Cricetulus griseus: one gene and its partner. The protein of the gene in region 1 binds, or shares a complex with, the protein of each later gene. Links are inferred from orthologs where the notes say so. Each region holds a gene or a part of one and is shown on either strand. Other genes may lie near its edges. The genes, in order: Acss1 and Sirt3.

The links.
Region 2: the proteins of Acss1 (region 1) and Sirt3 are in contact, whole or in part, in a crystal structure (PDB 3GLT), measured with the Homo sapiens proteins. The link is inferred for Cricetulus griseus from reciprocal best matches to the Homo sapiens genes ACSS1 and SIRT3. Residues at the interface, in NP_115890.2 of Homo sapiens: Ser640, Gly641, Lys642, Val643, Met644, Arg645; in NP_036371.1 of Homo sapiens: Gly145, Ala146, Gly147, Thr150, Pro151, Asp156, Phe157, Arg158, Ser159, Glu177, Phe180, Gln228, Asn229, Ile230, His248, Ile291, Val292, Phe293, Phe294, Gly295, Glu296, Pro297, Leu298, Gly319, Thr320, Ser321, Leu322, Glu323, Val324, Glu325.

What each region holds. Positions count from the first base shown.
Region 1 is NC_048599.1:29,026,778-29,031,022, reverse strand, and holds the start of Acss1 (acetyl-coenzyme A synthetase 2-like, mitochondrial), read right to left. Parts: upstream 2,870-4,245; coding exon 2,557-2,869; intron 1-2,556. UniProt on the Homo sapiens protein: Catalyzes the synthesis of acetyl-CoA from short-chain fatty acids. Acetate is the preferred substrate. Can also utilize propionate with a much lower affinity. Provides acetyl-CoA that is utilized mainly for oxidation under ketogenic conditions.
Region 2 is NC_048596.1:60,311,652-60,316,036, forward strand, and holds the start of Sirt3 (NAD-dependent protein deacetylase sirtuin-3, mitochondrial), read left to right. Parts: upstream 1-1,351; coding exon 1,352-1,406; intron 1,407-4,385. Other genes in the region: Psmd13 (26S proteasome non-ATPase regulatory subunit 13), read right to left, coding at 597-691.

The DNA of each region.
Region 1 (4,245 bases):
AGTGTTCCAGGACACACTCCTATCTTTAGTTCACATATAAGGAAACGTGGGAAGTGCAGCACAGTATGAACTGAGAACTCAATGTAGCTCAAAAGGCACAGCTGAAACCACCAAACTATGCTGAACCAAGCACCTGCAGCTGGAAGATGCCCAGCCAACAGGTTTCTAAATCTAAGGGTCTAGAGAGGGCCACAGAATTTGCATTGCTAAAAGCTCCCCAAGAAGGCTGCTGGTCCAAGACCATGCTTTGAGAAGCATTAGTCTGGATATCCCTGAAAGGCCAATATCGTCACTCACACTTTTTGGAACAAGCTGGCATTGTCACACAAGACAAACAAATCAGACCCAAACAGTTCAACCACTTCCCAGCTTTCTAGGTGGCTCCCAGGGCAGCTGCAGTCTGTCCCCTTTTCACACTATGACCTCTGGGGTTTGCAGATGCTGGTAAAGGACAAAGATGCTGCTGATAGATTGACAGCCAGGCATTCGGAGAAGCTGCTTTTCCTACAGGTCAGCTTGCTCCCGGCTCCCACTCTAAAGGTGGAAGAACAGAGGCCAAAGAATTCCATGAAGACCACACCCAAGCCTCACCATAAGGTCAATACCATTCCTTATCAGCTGTAAGCTTGGGTGTCCCCTTGGCTTTGGCCTCTTAAGCCCAGGGGGATTTCCAAAGAAGCCACACACTTTGTGCCCTCTTCCTTCTGCAAACTGCTTTACTCACTTCAAAGGCACATTCCATCAATTCTACAGTCCCAGGAACTTCTTCCCCCAAGTTCAAGATTTTGCTGACTCAAATCTAAAGGCAACACTTATCTAGTAAGAGACTCATTTAGATTAAACTTGCCAAGTAATATACAAAATGGGAAAAATATGACTGGTCCAAAGTTTCTTTAAGGTGTTGTGCTTTAAAAAAAAAAAAAAACAGACACCACCTATAATTTCTGGGTATAGTAATTCAAAATTGATAATGGCTTATTATTGATTACCAATAAGTCTGGACAAGGTTCTGCATCTCCCAGCACAGCCAAGTATTACTTCCCTAACTACAAATGGGGAAGCTGAGATGCACCAAAGTTAATGCAATGGATGCAGCAGACACCAGATCCCATCCTAACCTGTGGTCCTTGAACAAAGCATTGCCATACCAGGGTGGCATTCAGTTTTTCTTTCTTTCTTCCTTCCTTTCTTTCTTTCTTTCTTCCTTTCTTTCTTTTTGCAGATTTTTTATTTGAATTAGAAACAAGATTTTTTACATGACAATCCCAGTTCCCTCACCCTCCCGTCCTCCCCTACCACCACCACCACCCCAATAAAACCCTACCTATCACATATCCTTTCTGCTTCCCCTGGATGGTGAGGCCTCCCATAGGGTGTCATCAGAGTCTATCATATCCTTTGGGATAGGGCCTACGCCCACCCCCGTGTGTCTTGGCTGAGGGAGTATCCCTCTAGGTGGAATGGGCTCCCAAAGTCCACACCTATGCTAGGGATAAGTACTGAACTACTGCAAGAGGTCCGGTAGATTTCCGAGGTTTCCTCACTGAAACCCATGTTCCTGGGGTCTGGATCAGTCCCACGCTGGTATCCCAGCTATCAGTCTGGGGAGCAAGAGCTCCCCATGCAGTTTCTTTCTTATGCATCTCTGACCTCACTCCAACCCCACTGGAAGGCAGAAGTCCTTGAACCCCTGCTGTGCACCAGAGGCTCAGCCTGTCAGTCCAGCCCTTCCTTCAGTCCCTGGGACTTCTCAGTGCTTCCAACCCCAGCAGCATGGAATTCAGGCTCATTGGAAAACAGTTAGTGACTGATGTGTCCCTTTTGGAGAACGAGGAGGCTTCATGACCCAAGCTGGCCTTGAGCTCAGCTCAGCTCCTCCTGACTCAGCCTCCAGAGTGCTGGGGTTGTCTGCCTTTAACACTGTAGACGTTTGTCTTTGGGGTGCAGTTCTGAGACCCAGAACTTCCTGCCCACACGCCCCTGAGGGAGGAGATAACCAGTTCCCTCCCAGCCGCAGGCGCGTTCTTCCTTCTGCACCCACCAGGGCTCTGTTTACACTGCAGGGTTTGTCCCCTGGGGAGCTGCTGCTAACGCTAGCTAGCACCGTAGCTGATGGTAACAACCTACACACTGCGTTTATCCCGCTGACCTGGGGGGCCCTGGGCAGAAAAGGTCTGGGTTCTTGGAGCATGCGCTCTCTCCACCTAGGCCTGTCTGGGGTCGTAAGCTGTATGCCCATCGTTCTAGGGAACCCTGAGATTAAAGTCTGAAGAAAGTCCCACCCAGAATCTGCGCTAGGATAGGCCATTCTGATCTCAAACGGGCTACCTTAAGTTTTCAGCTTGAGCCAGCGCTGCACGTTTGGGCGCGTAGTTGGTGCCCTGCTGGCTGCAGTCTCTGGACCGGGTGGGATGCAGGTCAGGGTGACGTGGCACAAGAATTAGAGTGGGTGGTGAAGCATACTGGGGACAGGGGCCAAGGCCTGGGCACAGCTGCTACTGACAGGGGCCTCCCGAGTCTCGGCGGGACGTAGCTGGTCCCCAGCAACCCACTCACCAGACACATTCAACTGGCCTCCCAGGAACCAGCCGATCTTGCCCGTCCTAAAGTCGCAGTCCCAGACAGTGTGGTAGGGGGTGTCCCAAACTAGTGTGTCACGGGCCAGCGGCCCCCAGAAGGCGGCTGGCTCTTGGGCCGCTTGAGCGCTCAACGCAGGGTATGAGCCTGGCTGCGCTGCGAGGGAAACGCTGCCTAGGAGCCGAGTGGCGGTCGATCGGGACACGCTCAGCAACCACCCCGATTGTCCGGAGCGCCGGTGCAGGCCACGCAGCAGTCGCCCCACACCGCTGCCCAGGCTGCGCGCCGCCATCTCGCCCGACGCCCCACGCGAGTGCGGGAGCCTGGGCGCCCCTAAGAGTCTCCACCGCCCCGCCCCGGCTCCGCCTCCGCGGCCACCACCCACTACTCCCTGCTTCGCAGAAGCGGCTTCCTTGAGCCTGCCCCGGCCCCACCTCTTCTCCCTGCCTGAAGAGGGGTGCGAGCAGTGGGGGGGGGGGGAGGGGGGCTGGGGATGGGAGTGGGGGCGGAGTTGCTGTGCGCCTAGTGTCAGGATAGCCCGCGCTTTTGACTTCAGGTTCCTGGGTTTCTGCGATCGCTTCTTCTTGCAAACCAGACAACTTTCTCTGCTTGCGACAGCAGCAGCAAATTATGTGGGCTGCCCAGGCTCCCGACCAGGGACGTGGGCAGCGCTCCGAGATAGGAAGGATTGGATCATGAGAGCGAAGAACACAGATGGTGGGGATGAGCGGTCAGTCGGTTCAGCATTCCAGAGACTGAAGTCAAATCTTTCCTCCCTAGGTGATCTCCTGAGAATGAACCCTTTTCCCAACGGTGCCGGCCTGTACCACCATGCCACTCACACATAACTGACACCAGGTGGACTAAAAGGCTGATTGATAAAAAGCCTGGGGGCCTTCAAGCTGAGAAGAAGATTCTACGAAGGCCGGAGTCTGGTGAAAGTTATGCATGTTACCCAGCTGCCGACCCTTGTCCTGGCAGGTATCGCTTCTTGCCCTGGAGACCTTCGCTGATTTGAGGTGGTGGGAAGCTACGGTGAAGAATAAAATCAATGTCCACAGCATGTCTGGCCTGTTTGACACTATGCATCATCAGCTCCGTCACGGAGATGCAGGTTCTGTTATTGAAGAATCAAGAATAGAAAGAAATGTGTCTCTGCCAACTACTTAAGAAGTGGTATCTGTCAAGAAATTTATCCTTTCATTTAGATTTTCCAATTTTGCGAAGCACAGGTCTTTGAAGTATGACCTAATGATTCTCTGGATTTCCTCAGTGTCTGTTGTTATGGCCTTCTTTGTGTTTCTGATTTTGTTAGTTTGGATATTCTCTCTCTGCCTTTTAGTTAGTTTGGATAAGGGTTGCTTGTCTTGCTGATTTTCTCAAAGAACTAAGAAGTGAATACATAATAAAAATAAACACTAAGGGTGGGGGATTTTCAAGAACTGGTTTGTTGAGTTCTTCAGGCTGGCAAACACTGCTTCCTGTTGGCTGTGCGAGCCGCAGATAGGTCATTCCGTTGGAGGGGATACTGTGGGTGAGCTGCTGAGGAGGGAGGGGTAGAAAGCAGTGCCAAAAGCTAAAGCAGGCACATGTCCTGCCTGCCCTCGGCCAAGCACTTGTCGTTCTTTTAGAAGTTAGGTAAGTCGGGCACAATGGAGTACCCCTGGG
Region 2 (4,385 bases), on another chromosome or scaffold:
GAAAACGTCTCTTGAAAACACTAATAGCAGAAAACTGCTGAATACCACCAAAACACACGAACGGAAAGGATCTTTGTGGAAAGGTGTTTCCTCAGGGAAAGCTCTAGATCAATGTCAGCAATCTGTAACTGTTCTGAAGTCCATCTCGTTTCCAATCAAACTCAAACACTAAGGTCTCTCCAGTGGCAAAAAGGCCAATGTGAAATACAACAGAAAGCAGGGACAATGGGGGCTGAATCAAAGGTTGTAGAATCATGAAGAATTTGCAGGCTGTAGACAATCACACCACGGCTTAGGACAAGTTACCAGGGTCTGTGGCAGACCCAGACGCGGTGGCACCCTAGCCTCAAAACTATTTGCTTGTTTGAATTAAGAGCTACCATCACAGGCCAGTCCGGGCCCCCCTTTAGTTAAGACAGTCTGTCATAGCCGGTAAGGCTGCAAAGCAGGGGGTTTAGATTCAGAACCCTGGTAGCAAGCAGCTCTGCTCCTTTGGCTGTAGCTCCTTTTCTTCTGATTCCCTGACCCTCGGGGCTGCTCAGAGCCTCCTGCTGCTCCCAGAGCCCTCTCCCTCCCGCCCACGCCGCAGAGCTCACTTCTTCGTGTACAACTCCTCCAAACGGTGCCAAACGGCGGCCTGGCCCGGCCCGGAGTTCTGGCTCTGCTGTAAGAAGGCCGGCACATCCTTCATGATTGCAGAGAGCTGGGAAGAGAAACACCAAGTACTCGGAACCGGCAGGGATGGCGGACGGAAATGCTCGCTCACTTCCGGCACCGCGTTGCGCGGGGCATGCCGGGAGCTTCCCAGTAGCCCCGCCGATCGCGGTCGTCAAGGTAACCGCGTTCTTGGCTTGGGCCAAACTTGTCCCGCGTGTTCGGCCCCGCCCTTGAGGCGTTAGCGTAGAGGTGCCCGGGGACAGCTGGTCCCCGAGTGGTCTCAAGTCTTCCGACGTGGGTCCTCTCAAACTGGGATGGCGTCCGGCGAGGACTAGGTGTGATCAAATTCCTGACCGCGGGAAGCGCTCAGAGAGCATTAGTTATCATCCACCCGGTCTAGAAGGTCGAGCGCAGGGTAAAACGATGACGCCTCCGAGTTTGGCTTCCCAACCAATAAGCCAGAGTCTCACAGAGCGGGAAGCTGGCCGCAGCGAGCATACACATCCCCTTCGGCACGGCGGGTTAACGTGCCGGGGGCGCCGGGCTGGGCACCATGTGAGGGGCGGAGCGTTGGTGCTGGGGGGCGGGACCTGGCCGAGGGGGCGGGGTAAGGGTATCGGGCGGGGCTTGGCGCAAGGGGGCGGGGATTCGGATGGCACTTGACCCTCTAGGTGCCGTCTCCCAGCAGAGCATCATGGCGCTGAGCGGTCGACTGGCTTTGGCCGCGCTCAGACTGTGGGGCCCGGGAGGTGAGCCACGGCGGGGAAGCCACGGGGTCCCTCAGATAGGCTGTCAGAGGTGTTTTAGGGGCGGGCAGCGGAAAGCAATTGCGGTAGTGAGAAGCTGGCAGGTGCGCTCTTCCACAAAGCTCGACTGACCGGCCTCATCAGTACCTCATCTCTTTAAAGATTTTTTTTTTTTTTTAATGTAGCTATTTCCATTGCAGCACAGTCTTTGAACTGTTCTGTGGAAGTTCCTTGTATGGATGTCTCATACTTTATGTCACCATTTCCTTATCGAAATAGTTTCTAATCTCGTATTATTGCAAATAACGACGTTTTGAATAACTTTGTTTGCACCCCATTTTGAGCATGAATTCCCAGTAGACCTACTGCCTTGTGTAAAGTTATGTGGTTTGTGTTGTTTTGAGACTGGGTCTCCTAGTCGATACCTGCCTCCAGCTGGCAGTATGAAGGAGGATGACCTTGAACTCCCGATCCTCCTCCTTCCAACTCCAGCTGCTGAGATTAGTCATGTGCCACCACATCCAGCTGTTATTTATGTTTTAATTGTCCCCCATGAAGGTTGTGAGTTTAAAGTTTCACTAACAGTCATACTGTCTGCAGAATAGTAATATGTTTTGTATAGTCCTGAGAATGGTCTATGATAGGCTTATTTTCAGTTTCAAATGAGTGAGTTTATTAAGAGAGAGAAATCATCACATTGGATATTTTTAAAAAATCCAGTAGAAATCTACTGAGGAAACCCCTTTAAGGTAGCCAGGTGGAGCTTCCAGTAAAGAGAGTCGAGGGCAGAAAAGAGTGCCCCGTTTGCTGAAGTTTTTCAGTAAAGGAACAAATAGCAACAGAGAGAGAGAGACAATATCAAGTTGGACACTTGCTGCATCCAACAAAAACCGACAGAGGAAGTTCAGATAGTCAACTGGAGTTCCCAGATGAGCTTTTCCTTGGTGTCTGAGATTCCTCTGTAGGCACTTTTACATGCTGGGATAAATGATAGGAACCTCCTGGAATTGGATCACCTTCTAGCTGTTCTCATGGGCAGTGCTTTTACTCTTGGGTTGTTTTGCTGTTCCTTTCCCTTCCTATCACACAGTTGGGGGAGCCAGCCCATCCAGACCTTGGACTTTGAGACCAACATGGGTCAGAAATGGGAGTTGTCAGCCCAGCCCCCAAAGCCAGCTTTTCAGTAGCTCAAACAACACACAGCAGTTTACCAATATGATGTACAAGTTTGTTTGTTTTTTCTTTTTTCTTTTTCTTTTTCTTTTCCTTTCCCTTTTTCTTTTGGTGCTGAGGATCAAACCTGATCAGGCCTTGTATTTCTTCTGCTCTTGATTTTAGATTTTGGGACTCGTAGGTGACTTCATCCTTTGTCTCTTTATAGTATCTCAGACATTACTTAATGCCAGCCTCTGGTGTCTTCATCCCAGGAGCTTTCTATACCATGTAAATGTACTTTAAGTTATACCTTAAATCTGTTTTAGATATTGTCAGTGACTTTGCAAACTTTTTTTTTTTTTTTTGTGGGCAGGTGACTAAGAAATGTCCCTTATGTGCCCTGACGTGGATATCTGGCAGTTGTCAGGCACTCAGCAATGGTCACAACTTTTCTCTTGACCCTTTTGTATTCTCATATGGTTTGTATTTAAGAGGAGTTCAGCAAATGTTAGGGCAAGAACCGTCCTAGGTGCTATGTGAGATTCGGGTATTTGATGGGAGGGATGTGGGTTTGGAGCCAGAGCTTTCTTTTCCTCATTCTTTATTGTTTTCACTGGGAGCTCCTTGGAGGGTTTCACTGCCTTGGCTCAGCAGAGGGACCTTGGTAAAGTGCGTTTATACCCTACTGTGATACAGAAGGACCTTCTTTAGAAGCCCATCTCTGCAGTGTGGGAGGAGCTGAGGTCTTTCTCCTGTTTGTTGTTGTTCTGTACACTCTGGTGAGAGGTTTATAAACATAGGTTCCTCCAAATCAGACTAAGAATTAGGAGTTGGGATGTAATTCTGGGAGAAAGCTCTTGCCTCTTCACCCCCAGAACAACAAAACACCACCAGCAACAGCAACAAAACAAAAGTCATCTTTGGCCTCCTTGCTTTGAGCTTGTCAGCTGAGGCTCAGGGTGCTGCAGGGTTACTCCTGGCTTGCTGTTGGCACACAAGTCCCTGGATAACTGAACACTGTGTGGATAGGGCAGCTGTGTACTGCAGGTGCACAGAGGAGAGAGCTGATAGACACCCTAATAGGAGAGGGAGCCAGCACTGTTGCCTTTAAGAGGAGGGTCAGTGATTATCCTTAGGGTTCAGCAAACATTTGACCTTGTGGGATTATGATACTCCCAAGAGGAGACCATGCTTCTCAGGCAGAATATGCTGGTTGGGACAGGGTTACTTAGAATCACTAGGATTTAGGACATGAAAACAAACAAGCCTTTTGTTTGGCTAAAATGAAGGATTAGAACTGTCACTAGAATGGCAATGGTGTGAGGAGAGCTTCTGGGAAAGCAGGTGGCATGATGAGAAGTCAGTTTTGTAAGGAGCAAAGGCAGTGACAAAGAGTAAACCCTGTATTGGTATCATCCTGCTAGAAGAGAGGCTCTGAACTGCCCTGTCTGAAGATGTACTGTTAGCATCTTTATTCTTGATTGTATTATGAGTAAAAGACATACTCTTAGTTGCCTGCTTTATGGCTGTATTAACTTTAGCCATTTATTTGGGGAGGGCCAATTTGATGTTTAATCTGTTCCACCATCTGATTGGAGAGGCCTCTATCCTGGTCATTAGGGCCATCTGATGGGAGAATTGGCCCAGTGTCTCAGCTCTCAGTGTGAGGCTGATGGTCCTGAATTCAGGGCAGATTGCCATGGTGATGGAGACATTGCTGCTTTGTTAGATATCAAGAGAGTCCTGAGTGAAGGCTGTAGACTCAGAAAACTTCCAGGGCCTTGTGAAGCTGCAGTGCCCAGTGTTTCTCGGGCTGCAAGCTTTGGT